3 linked regions of the Sus scrofa genome follow. The protein of the gene in region 3 purifies or fractionates together with the protein of the main gene of each other region. This does not show direct contact. Links are inferred from orthologs where the notes say so. Each region holds a gene or a part of one and is shown on either strand. Other genes may lie near its edges. The genes, in order: H2AFZ, SHQ1 and RUVBL1.

What was found.
Region 1: the proteins of RUVBL1 (region 3) and H2AFZ purify together in Homo sapiens (affinity purification with mass spectrometry; 6 studies listed by BioGRID and IntAct, with this or other methods). This does not show direct contact. The link is inferred for Sus scrofa from reciprocal best matches to the Homo sapiens genes RUVBL1 and H2AZ1.
Region 2: the proteins of RUVBL1 (region 3) and SHQ1 purify together in Homo sapiens (affinity purification with mass spectrometry; 3 studies listed by BioGRID and IntAct, counting the BioPlex papers as one, with this or other methods). This does not show direct contact. The link is inferred for Sus scrofa from reciprocal best matches to the Homo sapiens genes RUVBL1 and SHQ1.

The regions. Positions count from the first base shown.
Region 1 is NC_010450.4:120,562,665-120,566,415, reverse strand, and holds H2AFZ (histone H2A.Z), read right to left. Parts: upstream 2,665-3,751; 5' UTR 2,480-2,664; coding exon 2,477-2,479; intron 2,034-2,476; coding exon 1,956-2,033; intron 1,674-1,955; coding exon 1,560-1,673; intron 1,222-1,559; coding exon 1,092-1,221; intron 815-1,091; coding exon 753-814; 3' UTR 393-752; downstream 1-392. UniProt on the Homo sapiens protein: Variant histone H2A which replaces conventional H2A in a subset of nucleosomes. Nucleosomes wrap and compact DNA into chromatin, limiting DNA accessibility to the cellular machineries which require DNA as a template.
Region 2 is NC_010455.5:54,139,211-54,142,861, forward strand, and holds part of SHQ1 (protein SHQ1 homolog), read right to left. Parts: intron 2,380-3,651; coding exon 2,326-2,379; intron 102-2,325; coding exon 1-101. UniProt on the Homo sapiens protein: Required for the quantitative accumulation of H/ACA ribonucleoproteins (RNPs), including telomerase, probably through the stabilization of DKC1, from the time of its synthesis until its association with NOP10, NHP2, and NAF1 at the nascent H/ACA RNA.
Region 3 is NC_010455.5:72,238,327-72,241,977, forward strand, and holds part of RUVBL1 (ruvB-like 1), read left to right. Parts: intron 1-2,539; coding exon 2,540-2,642; intron 2,643-3,651. UniProt on the Homo sapiens protein: Possesses single-stranded DNA-stimulated ATPase and ATP-dependent DNA helicase (3' to 5') activity; hexamerization is thought to be critical for ATP hydrolysis and adjacent subunits in the ring-like structure contribute to the ATPase activity.

The sequences.
Region 1 (3,751 bases), on a different chromosome or scaffold from region 3:
TTTATACTGAAAGTACCTTCTGTGGAGGTAGCAATATACAGAACTTCCCTACCTGCCCCAGTCCATGACAGTGCTCTGGATGTAGTGCTGCTGTCACAAACAGCAAGTGCAGCGACAAATTGAGATGATCAAATTTAACCTAAAAAACATCACCTTGTCCAGTTCCAAGCTCCTACTGAAGTTTTAAAATCTTTAATAGTTCATCTCATAGCATTAAAAAATATATATATGCTTTAGCCTTCGAGGTTTGTTGATCTACAAAATTAACATTTTAATTTCAAGGTAAGAAACGTGCTTATTAAGTTATTGCTGGATAAGATAGTTATTCAAAACAAAAGTTGTTCCCATCATAATCAAGTGAATTTAATACACAACTAGTTTGGGATATGACCTTTATTGAGCTTATCCACCGAAGTGGAAATAATGTCTGTACAAAACCAAATGTTTGTTACTATAACTTCTGCATCACAATTAAAATCCAAACAGTTTTTTAAAAACAGTCAACTCAATCAAAACCCACTACTTCAGAATCAATAGCTTCTTTGAAGCCACAGTAACACTTAAATATGGTTAAGACTCGAATGCAGAAATTTGGTTGGTTGGAAAGCTAATTAAACTTCCAACTTGCTCAAATAGAATTACAAAAAGGCAAAATTGTGTTTTTCACAGAGATACAGTCCATTGGAATCACCAACACTGGACAGCTGTTAGAGTATTTAGAGTCCTGAGATAATAAGGAATCCAGGCATCCTTTAGACAGTCTTCTGTTGTCCTTTCTTCCCAATGAGAGATTTGTGGATGTGTGGAATGACACCTAGGGGAGGAAAGGGATACTTTTAAATATACATTATTTTGAAAATTAACACAGGACTTCAAAACCATGACAGTTTAACGTTCAACTTCGAAGAAGTCTTTAAATGTGAGGCCAGAGTATGCAGAAGTAAAAATTCACTAAGTTATATACAGGAATCAATTTTCATGATGCAACCATACTACAGATCACTGAAAATAACACTAAGTGTCCTCTTCTAGTGGGGGAAAAAAGTAAAGAATTATCTAAAGAAATTAAAAAATTTTTAGTATTTACATACCACCACCAGCGATTGTAGCCTTGATGAGAGAATCCAATTCTTCATCTCCACGAATAGCAAGTTGCAAGTGACGAGGAGTAATACGCTTTACCTTCAAGTCTTTTGATGCATTTCCTGCCAATTCAAGTACCTAGAAGACAGAATCTAATCAATCTCCTGCCAACTTTCCTTAGGATCAAGATCCAGAAGAATCAAACCTTCGTGAACGTGTATCTACCAACTGCCGTCTCCCCCCACTACCTGAATGGCAAGATATGCAAAAGCTATAAAGGGGACACGCAATTTTATTTCCTAAAGCAGTCAACTCAAGCTCAGGAGGAACCCAAAATGAACACCAGCCCCCTCTAGCGTTGTCAGAAGCTTCTCACCGCGTTCAGAGCCTGGGAGTTTTCTTGCATCACTTTCCTCCTTCCCTCTCACCGCCTCCCCCCACCACCTTTTCCAGATTACAGGCGTACACCCATTTACCTCTGCGGTGAGGTACTCCAGGATGGCTGCGCTGTACACAGCGGCAGTCGCGCCCACACGTCCATGGCTGGTCGTCCTAGATTTCAGGTGTCGATGAATACGGCCCACCGGAAACTTCATTTTTCGCATACACAAACACAAATGCACAAAGATAGAGGAGCCAAAAATGGTCAAATTATACGCGCGCCAAAGCAAGGGGCACGGAGGCTGATGCAGCAACGCGCCCTAGCATCGCCACACGTGATCGCCCCCCCTTCCCCAATATTTATTGTATCGGTAAACCAAGTCCCGACACCATCACCACGCAAAGACCAAAAGCTCATCTAGTGCAATGATAAACAGAGAAAAAGGAGAGAAAAACGCCGCGATTCCCAGACAGCAGAAACCCCCACTGACCTGCAAACCGGCTCTCTGCGAGCGGGAAACCGCCTTTGTCTTGGCCTTTCCGGAGTCCTTCCCAGCCTTACCGCCAGCCTGCGGCGCGCACACGCCCGCGAGCGAAGAAGGAACGCAGAATACAGGATTACCAAGGCGGCGCGCCCCTCCCCCACCGCGGGGCGGCCCGGGCGCGAGCGGGGCCCGGTGCCCAGCCGGGGTCTCCGGCCCGCCGCGCGCCGCAAGGGCGACCCCGCCCGCCTGCCCCCCGCTGCGCGCCCGCCGCGGCCGCGCGCTTCAGGCCGCCCGCTCACCGCCCTCCGGCTCCCAGCGGCGCTGCGCGCGCCACCCAACCGTCGCCGCCCGCCGCGAGATCGGAGGCTGCTCCGCTCGCCGCCGACAAAACACCTCCCCCCGCTCTTCCACATCCTCTCTCCGCGCGTTCCCAACCGTCACCGCTTCACCCCCATCTCCGTGTGTAACGGGTTTTTCTCCTGCCGGCAAAAACCCGCGTAGTCTTCGAGCGCCTCCGCGAAGTTTACCATTTCGAATTCTGCTGAAGCTCAAACAAGCAAGGCAGAGAAAGGACTAGTCAGTCACCAAGCGAGATCCCGCCGCCTACTCCTCCGTCGCACCGCGATTCAAACTGCGCTGTCTCCCGCCTTCCCCGCTCCCTTTATACTGCAGAATGTTCCCTCATCCGGGAACTCGGATTGCTCATCCCACCAATGGCTGCCACCCGCCCTCGGGCCGCGTCCTTGAAGTCTCAGCCAATGAGCAAGCGAAGAAAAGGGCGGAGGGGCGGGCGCTTTGCAGCTCGAGCTGTTATTGGGGCATGAGAAGGAGGTGGGGGAGAACGGAGGGATGGGAACCCGGGAGAAGAAGGGCACAGCGGCGGGAGGGAAGAAACAGAGCGAGCTACGCTGCTTGAGCAGGGCACCCGCCGGCTTAGTCACGTGCCTGGAGGGAGGAGCTGAGAGGCTCAGGGGAGGGGCACGCAGTAGCTGCCCCCTATTCCACCTTTGCCTCCTTGCTCGGTTCCAGAGACCTCGGAAAGCGGGGACTAGCACTCCCTCCTTCCTGCCCTGCCCTCCCTCCGCCTCCGCCCCGTTAGAACACCTGGCGGGCAGAGACCCGCCTGTCCGCAGCCTTCTTCCGGAGCACGGGGTACCTTCACCGACCCCCCTGCATTCCCGTTGACACCTCCGGTCTGACAGGTGGCGCGAAGGCGTCCAGTGAAAGGCGCCCCGACTCCTTCGCTAACCATAGTCTGGGTAGTGATTTCGCGTTTGTTCCTCCTAGGCAAGTGCCCAGCCACCGATTCATCACGACCCTCTGCTCCCACTTTTTCAGCTGTATCTCCTTCCTCTTCTTTTCTCAGGACTTTTTGAACCCCCTACCTCCCCAACCCCAACAGAACAGTTTCATGGAAAAGACGGTGAAGCAAAGTCACCTCGCTGGTCATAAAAGACCTTTTGGTCTACCCACTGAAGGCTTGGGCTGAGGCGGTATTCTTTAATCAAATCATATTTTTCTAAAGACTACACGTCTGTGGGTTGTACCTATAGCCTGGCTTCTAAAGTTGATTTAGTGAAACATGAAGGCTATTATGTGTCAACTCTTCTATGCTAAACATTTTGCTACTTGACAAATGTTCGGTAAATGTCCTCATATGATTCACAGGCAGTTACAGATGGTCCATGTAATCAAATGCAAATGATGGGCTTAAAAAAATAGTACTGTACACACAGTACTATCATAATGCCAGCTACTTAATTTTCCAACTAATAGATTAATAGCACCTCTGTACACGTCCA
Region 2 (3,651 bases), about 18 Mb from region 3:
TCTCTGTAGGCTTCCATCACCAGCTTGAAATGGCGGTGAAGTGGGTAGCACAAAACTCGTCTTCCAAAAGACACCAGGATCTCATGAACATTAGACCAAGTCTGTGAAGTATCATTTAAATAAGTAATCATTTCCATATTACACGAAACAAAAGCACACAACAAACGCATAACTATTCTCAATTAAAAACTAAGTCTGGATCATCATCAAGCCAAGTGGAAGACAAATACAAAGCCATGGAATGAGACTCTTTCTTTACACCTCGCAATATAATTTTTATCTCAGTCATAATTTCTCACACTTTATCAACATATCAAAAATGCTCCTTAAAAATCACATATATAGCAGGAAAGTTTTTAAAAGTCTTTTAAAAGTTACCAATCTGAATGCAAAACATATGGCACTAACAAAATACAGATGAACATAAAAGACATTTCTAAATGATCTATGTTTCATGTTTTTGTCTTTTAGGAGCATTCAAGATAATGTAGATGAAAAATACAGAACTCTTGAGTGAAGGGGTTCACAGTTCCCCTCTTCCTTTTCTCTCTTTTTCTTTAGCTTTTGGCATTTACTTCAGTAATTTGCTTTCACTTATCAAAGAGAAACTACTCATTTCTTTATCTTGACAGGTATCAGACTGATACCATTAGCAACACAAAACTTACTGAAAACACTAGAAAAAGATAAATTTTTACAAAATTTTTTAAATTGGGTTTTAATTTAAAATGTATAACAAATGTAACCCATATATAATACTTAAAATATAAAATTAAAACTGAGAGTAACATCGTTTCCATGTATGTATCCTTTCCATGTATGTATGTATTTCCATGTAGGTATCCTTAACGAATAAATCATCTGATTACAAATACCGAGCACCCAAAAAGAATAGTTTATAGCTAAAAAAAAAAAAAAAGGAACTTTTAAAAAATTCTGTCAAGAAGTGAAATAAAGGTATGATAGAACTATTAACATGTCTGGCAATTCTGTTACCTCGAAAACAATAAAAATTTCAAAATAAAGTCAAATAGGTCAATTTCTTCATGTAAATTTTAATAACTATGAAATTATATAGTCACCAACTACTTTGTTTTCAGTGTAAGTAATCAAGTGACCATTACAAAAGCCAGTTTCTCCATTAATCTACTGATCATGGAAATATGCAGAACCCACACGAAGTTCAAAGAATAGCACTTCTCCATCTTAAATATGCATACGAATTCCTGGAGATCTTGCTACCTAGTCTAACTCAGGGGGTATGGATTGGGATTCTGTCTTTCCAACAAGCTGCCAGAAGAGGATACATTCTCTGCTAAGATTCTCTGATAAAGTTAATTATTTTGGTTCCTGTTTACATCTTATCTATTATTTGAACAAAGTGATTCCACAGACACAATTTTGATTTTACAACTTAAAATGAACACTATCTAAGATTTAAACTAGAAACACACACACACAGAAACAAAACTAGTTGCCTTTAATAGATGATGCAATTATCAATTATTGAAATCAGCATTTTTTTGAAGCTTCTTTTTTGATGTACGACAGTGTGTTCAAAGCTAGTAGATTTACGGATACCATCCTTAGCTATTTTTGTTTTTTTCTTTTTTTTTTAGGAATGTACCCACGGCATATGGAGGGTCCCAGGCTACGGGCTGAATCTGAGCTGTAGCTGCCAGCCTATGTTTAGCTATTTTTGGTAAGATCTACACAACTATTCTCTGGAAAATAGATTATAAAAACAATTATTATTATACTAGAGAGTTATCAGATCTAAACATACTAATTGTAGGACCTAGGCTAAGTTATTTAAGCTATATGATACAAGTTTCCTCATCTGTAAAATATCAATAACATTTATCTCACAGACTTACTGAAGGGAACAGGTGAAGGAATATACACCTATACTTAAAAGGCTTGGCACAACCCCTGGTGGCAAGTTGCAGCTAAGAATATTATCACCTAGATTTGCTGCCCATCTGTGAGCTCTGAACCTCAATACATACCAACCTACCTCCATGCCTCAAACTCCACCCATATCCTGCCCCAAAAGACTCTGTCCCCATTCCTTCTCCAGAGTTTGTGCTCCCTTTCCTGACTTCCAAAATATCCTAACTGGTCTCATTATTATACTAGGATTAGTGTAAGAGTAACAAATGGAATCAGATTTTTATTAAAAAGATGGAAAGAAAAAAATGGACAATAAAGCTACCACTTTTTAAAAATCAAGGAATTGCTTGGTTGACCCAAAATAAACTAATAACAACAAAAATTAACTCTCTGAACAAACAGAATCAAAGCAAGTACAACTGAAAATCATACCTCAAACCAGCACAGCGTTGGACTCAGTTTTCTGATATTCCATGCAGATTCAACCTTATTTGTTTTGAAGAAAACAAATAAGGTTGTCACATTAGAGACAAAGTCATTTAAAAACAAAGCAAATACATCCACTTATTCAACAAAGCAAATACATCCACTTATTCAACTAGTATCATATAAGAACTAAGAAGCATTTAGGACTGCGGGAAAGTAATGACTTTAATGATGCCAGGGTGATCAAAGGCGAGTTTCTGCCTACTCTGTTTGGAATTTTAGAAAGTAAAGCTTTCACACTGATAAGAGTACCAGAACACAAGAGCACATAAGCAAGGGCTTTAAAGCTAAAGCAAAGCAATGCGTGCTCAATTTCTGTCCTTCCCAACTAGGTTTTACTTGCCTCCCAGATATTTATAAATAATCTACCAAAGAACTGAGAGATAATGTTCAAGTATTCTCTGTGGCACTTAAAAAGCTGCTCAAGCATTTGGCCTTTCAGAGAATGCCTGTGAGAAGAAGTACATTCTAGAGAGCAATCCTGAAGTTTCAGGACTTCACAATTTTAAATATGTGAATGTAAAAATAAAAAATGCTAGGTTTTATCGAGCATAACTACATATTCTCAATCTCCTCAAGCAATATGAAGCACTTTTTCTGTCGAAGAAAACATTTTCTCCAACTATGGTATCCTAAAAAGATGAGTGGAAAAAAACCCCTTTTTCAGTTACAGTATGACCTCAATATACTCATTAATATTCATTTTGGAGTCAAATGCAAATCTCAAAAATCACTGTTGAAATTTTCAGAATTCTAACAGCAAAAAATTTGGCACATATCGACTCCTTCTCCTAACACTAAGCAAATGCTACCATGTTCAGTGAGAAAAGCAGGTCAAATAATAGCATAGGGAGTTCCCTTCATGGCTGGGAGTTCCCTCCATGGCTCAGCAGTTATCAAACTCAACTAGGATCCATGAGGATTAGGGTTCGATCCCTGGCCTTGCTCCATGGGTTGGGGATCCGGCGTTGCTGTGAGCTGTGGTGTAGTTCACAGACACGGCTCGGGTCCCAAATTGCTGTGGCTGTGGCAAAGGCCAGGGGCTGTAGCTCCAATTCATATACTAACCTGGGAACTTCCATATGCTGCAGGTTTGGCCCCAAAAAGCGAAAATAAATAAATAAAATAAATAATAGCATATACTATAACCCAATGTAAATACACATGCAAACAGGTGTACCATAAAAGAAGACTGCAAGAGAAACATCACCTTGCAACAGTGGTTATTTCTGATGGCAGAGATGGTAATTTTAATTATCTTCTTCCTGAGAG
Region 3 (3,651 bases):
TTTAGGGCTGTACCCTTGGCGTATGGAGGTTCCCAGGCCAGGGGTCAAATTGGAGCTATAGCTGCCAGCCTATGCCATAGCCACAGCAACTAAGGATCTGAGCCATGTCTGTGACCTACACCACAGCTCATAGCAACACCAGATCCTTAACCCACTGAGCGAAGCCAGGGATCAAACCCACAACCTCATGGTTACTAGTCAGGTTCGTTACCCACTGGGCCACAATGGGGACTCCACCCAAACAGGACTTTTTAAAAAAGAAACACATGGCCAAAGCAGAATTAAATAACTGGGAGTTCCCGCTGTGGTGCAACTGGATTGGTGGCATCTTGGGAGCACTGGGACCCAGGTTCAATCCCCTGCCCGCATGGTGGGTTAAGAATTGGGTGTCACCACAGCTGTAGTATAGGTCACAACTGATCTGATCCCTGGCTTGGGAACTTCATATGCCATGGGGTGGCCTAAAAAGAAAAAAATTAAATAACTAAAAATTAAATGTAGTTTTTAAAGGATATTTTGTTTAGTATGAAGATTGAAGGTATACCAAATACTCAGATTTGAATCATGATGAAATTTTATCTCTTTAATTCTTCCTTATTATTTTTAGAAATGTTTGTTGGTGAAGATTTGTTTTCTCTAAAGTTATCTTAATATTTGTGTTTGTTATTAGTCTACTTCTCTTTTTATTTGGAAAGGTCTTAGTTATTAATGTTACAATTATTAATGTATAATTTTATTCTTTTTTTGAATTGTTTTTGTTGTGACAAAATGTGTATAACATAGAGTTTGCCACTTTAATTTTTTTTTGTCTTTTTTTTAGGGCCACACATGTGGCATATGGAAGTTCTCAGGCTAGGGGTCAAATCTGAGCTGTAGCTGCCATCCTCCACCACAGCCATAGCAATGCCAGATCCAACCCATGTCTGCGACCTACACCACAGCTCATGGCAATGCCAGATCCTTAACCCACTGAGCGAGGCCAGGGATCCAACTCTCGTCCTCATGGATGCTAATAGGGTACATTACGGCTGAGCCATAATGGGAACTCCCCATTTTAATTATTTTTAAGTGTAAAATTCAGTGGCATTAATCACATTCACAGTGTTGTACAGCCCCATCACCATCATCTGGAAGAGTTTCCAGGACTTTTCCACCATCCCAAACCAGAAGCTTTGTCCCCATTTAAGCAGTAAGTCCCATTTTCCTTTCCCTGAGCCCCTGGCAAACCTCTGATCTACTCTGCCCTGTGCATTTGCCTTTTCTGCATATTTCCTATAGGTGGAATCATGCAGTGTCTGCCTGTCCATGACTGGCTTCTTTCACTTACCATAACCTTTTCAAGGTTCGTACTGTTGTAGCCTGGGTCAGGATAGCATTTTATTTTTGCGATAATAAATACAAGTTTGTACTTGAACTGACTGGATAGAATTTCAACAGATTTCTTTTACCGAAGTTATATTTCTAGAATGTTTACTTACATTTGAAACTGAGTACTCCAATATTAAAAGTTAACCCCAAGTGACCTGCTTTTGTTCTTTGTTATATTGATGAGTTGTGACCATGGACACAAATCAAGTGGGGAGGCCAGAACTGCTGCTCTGGCTCCTGAAGGCAGAAGCTGGAGCCCTGGCTCAGCTCATTGGGCTTCCAGATGTGGTGGAAGCATGGCCTGTGTGCCACTGGGGCCTGCCTGGCACATGTCCCATCCAGAACTGGTGCCATGTGGCCTGGCAGGTTGGCAGGCATCTTCTCCTGGGCTGTTCTCTGGCTTGGCTAAGGATTCAAGAAAAAGCTAGGTAAATGACATGATTGGACAGTTCCTCAAAAGAAATGAAATAACGAATGAATACATGGGAAATATTCAAATGAGTCTTTAGTAATCAAGGAAATACAGATTCAGACAATGTGTTACCTTTCCATTTTCTAAATCTTTAAGCAGCAAACTAAGGATTAGAATACTCACTGTTGACTACAGTGTGGTGGGATCAGCTTACTCGAGTAGCTGCATAAATTAGGACATTGGTTTATTCATTCATTTGTCCAAGAAGATACTCGGGGTTGTGTCAGGCTCCACGAGAGTTGCTAAGGAAATTTTCATGGCTAAATGTATAAAATTATTTATCAAAGCACCATGAATAGTAGCAGTAACAAATGGAAACTGCCCAGATGCCCAGCACTTTGGTGGACACTTGATGGGTTATTAAGAGACTGAAGTAACATGGACAAAGGCATCAACGACAACAAAAGTCTATGTATTTAATGTACTTTATGAAAATTTGGCAAATACCTATATGGATATTTTGAATATGATTTTCAGTAGCTTTTTCTCCTCCTCCCCAAGTGTCCTGTGGTGTTGATATTTGGTAAAATATTGAAGTTGTTTTTGACGCCACCTGAGTTAGTCTGTGCCCTTTGCGGTCCTGCCTCTGACTCTCAGGACAGGAACTAGCTGCTTTGTCATCTTGAGTGCCTCAGCCATGGTTCCAGGGCCTGTTTCCACTCCCAGGCCTGAGTGATGTGGTCTTTCTGGGCTTTGCAGGGGAACGGAGGACATCACCTCTCCTCACGGCATCCCTCTTGACCTCCTGGACCGAGTGATGATCATCCGGACCATGCTGTACACCCCACAGGAGATGAAACAGGTGAGCAGCCTCCCTCCTTCACTCTCAGTGTCCCTGATGCTGAGGAGGAAAGTGCCTGCAGAGTAGCCTTGGCTACCCCACCTCCCACCACAGAGTTGGCTACACAGTAGGTCTCAGTGCTTCGGAGCCTTGGCCCCCATCTGAGCAATGGCTGGGCTTGAAGTGCCTATGGTCTTGGCTGTTCTCGCTTCTATTCTGTCCCTTCTGGTAAACAGGAAATGGACAGTGAGAAAATCAACTTGATGACAGCTATTAGGGAGACCACCAGCTTTAGGAAAGAGGCATTAGAATATCAGATTGTGATAGCCTCCAGCCCAGAGCCTGTCCACAGCCTTTTCTGCCCAGGGGCAAAGCCAGGCATTCTGGTCCACTGGAACCCATGGCAGGTCAGCTCTGGAAGGTACAGAACCTGAATCCTGGCAAAGCCCATCTGCTGTGACAGGGTCACAGTGGAGGGTTTCCTGGGGCTGCTGCTGAAGCCCTAGGGGTGTAGTGAAGCAGCCTCATAGGCGTAGAGGGCAGGTGGAATGGAAGGCATAAAACTAACCTTACAGTAAGAGACGTGAAGGAGGCACACAGCACTTAGCTCAGTGCCCGGCATAGTGCATGCTCAGTTCTGCATGAGTTCAACTTGGGTTGGGCTTCACAGTGGGAGATGACAGGGATGCCTGAGATTGGCCTTATCCCAAGGGGCACAGTCCCAATTCTCCCTGCACACTCACCTCTTGCTTGATCTGGAGATGGAGCAGCAACTGTGCCACACAGTGCCTCAGCACCCTGGGAATCCCCAGTCCCCTTCTGGTGCTTCCAGCCAGTTATTTGCCATTTTAATTGCTGAGTCACTGAGTCTAAGACACAAAGCCAGGTTGTACCCTGCTGAGCCCAGCCATCTGCTCTGCCCACCCTCACCCCAGCACTGTTTTGTTGGGGGACGTAGGTGAGTTCAGCATGTGGCTGAGGCAAGGTGGCCCAGGGCTGCACTGACATCTTGGTGAGCTCTGTCTGACTT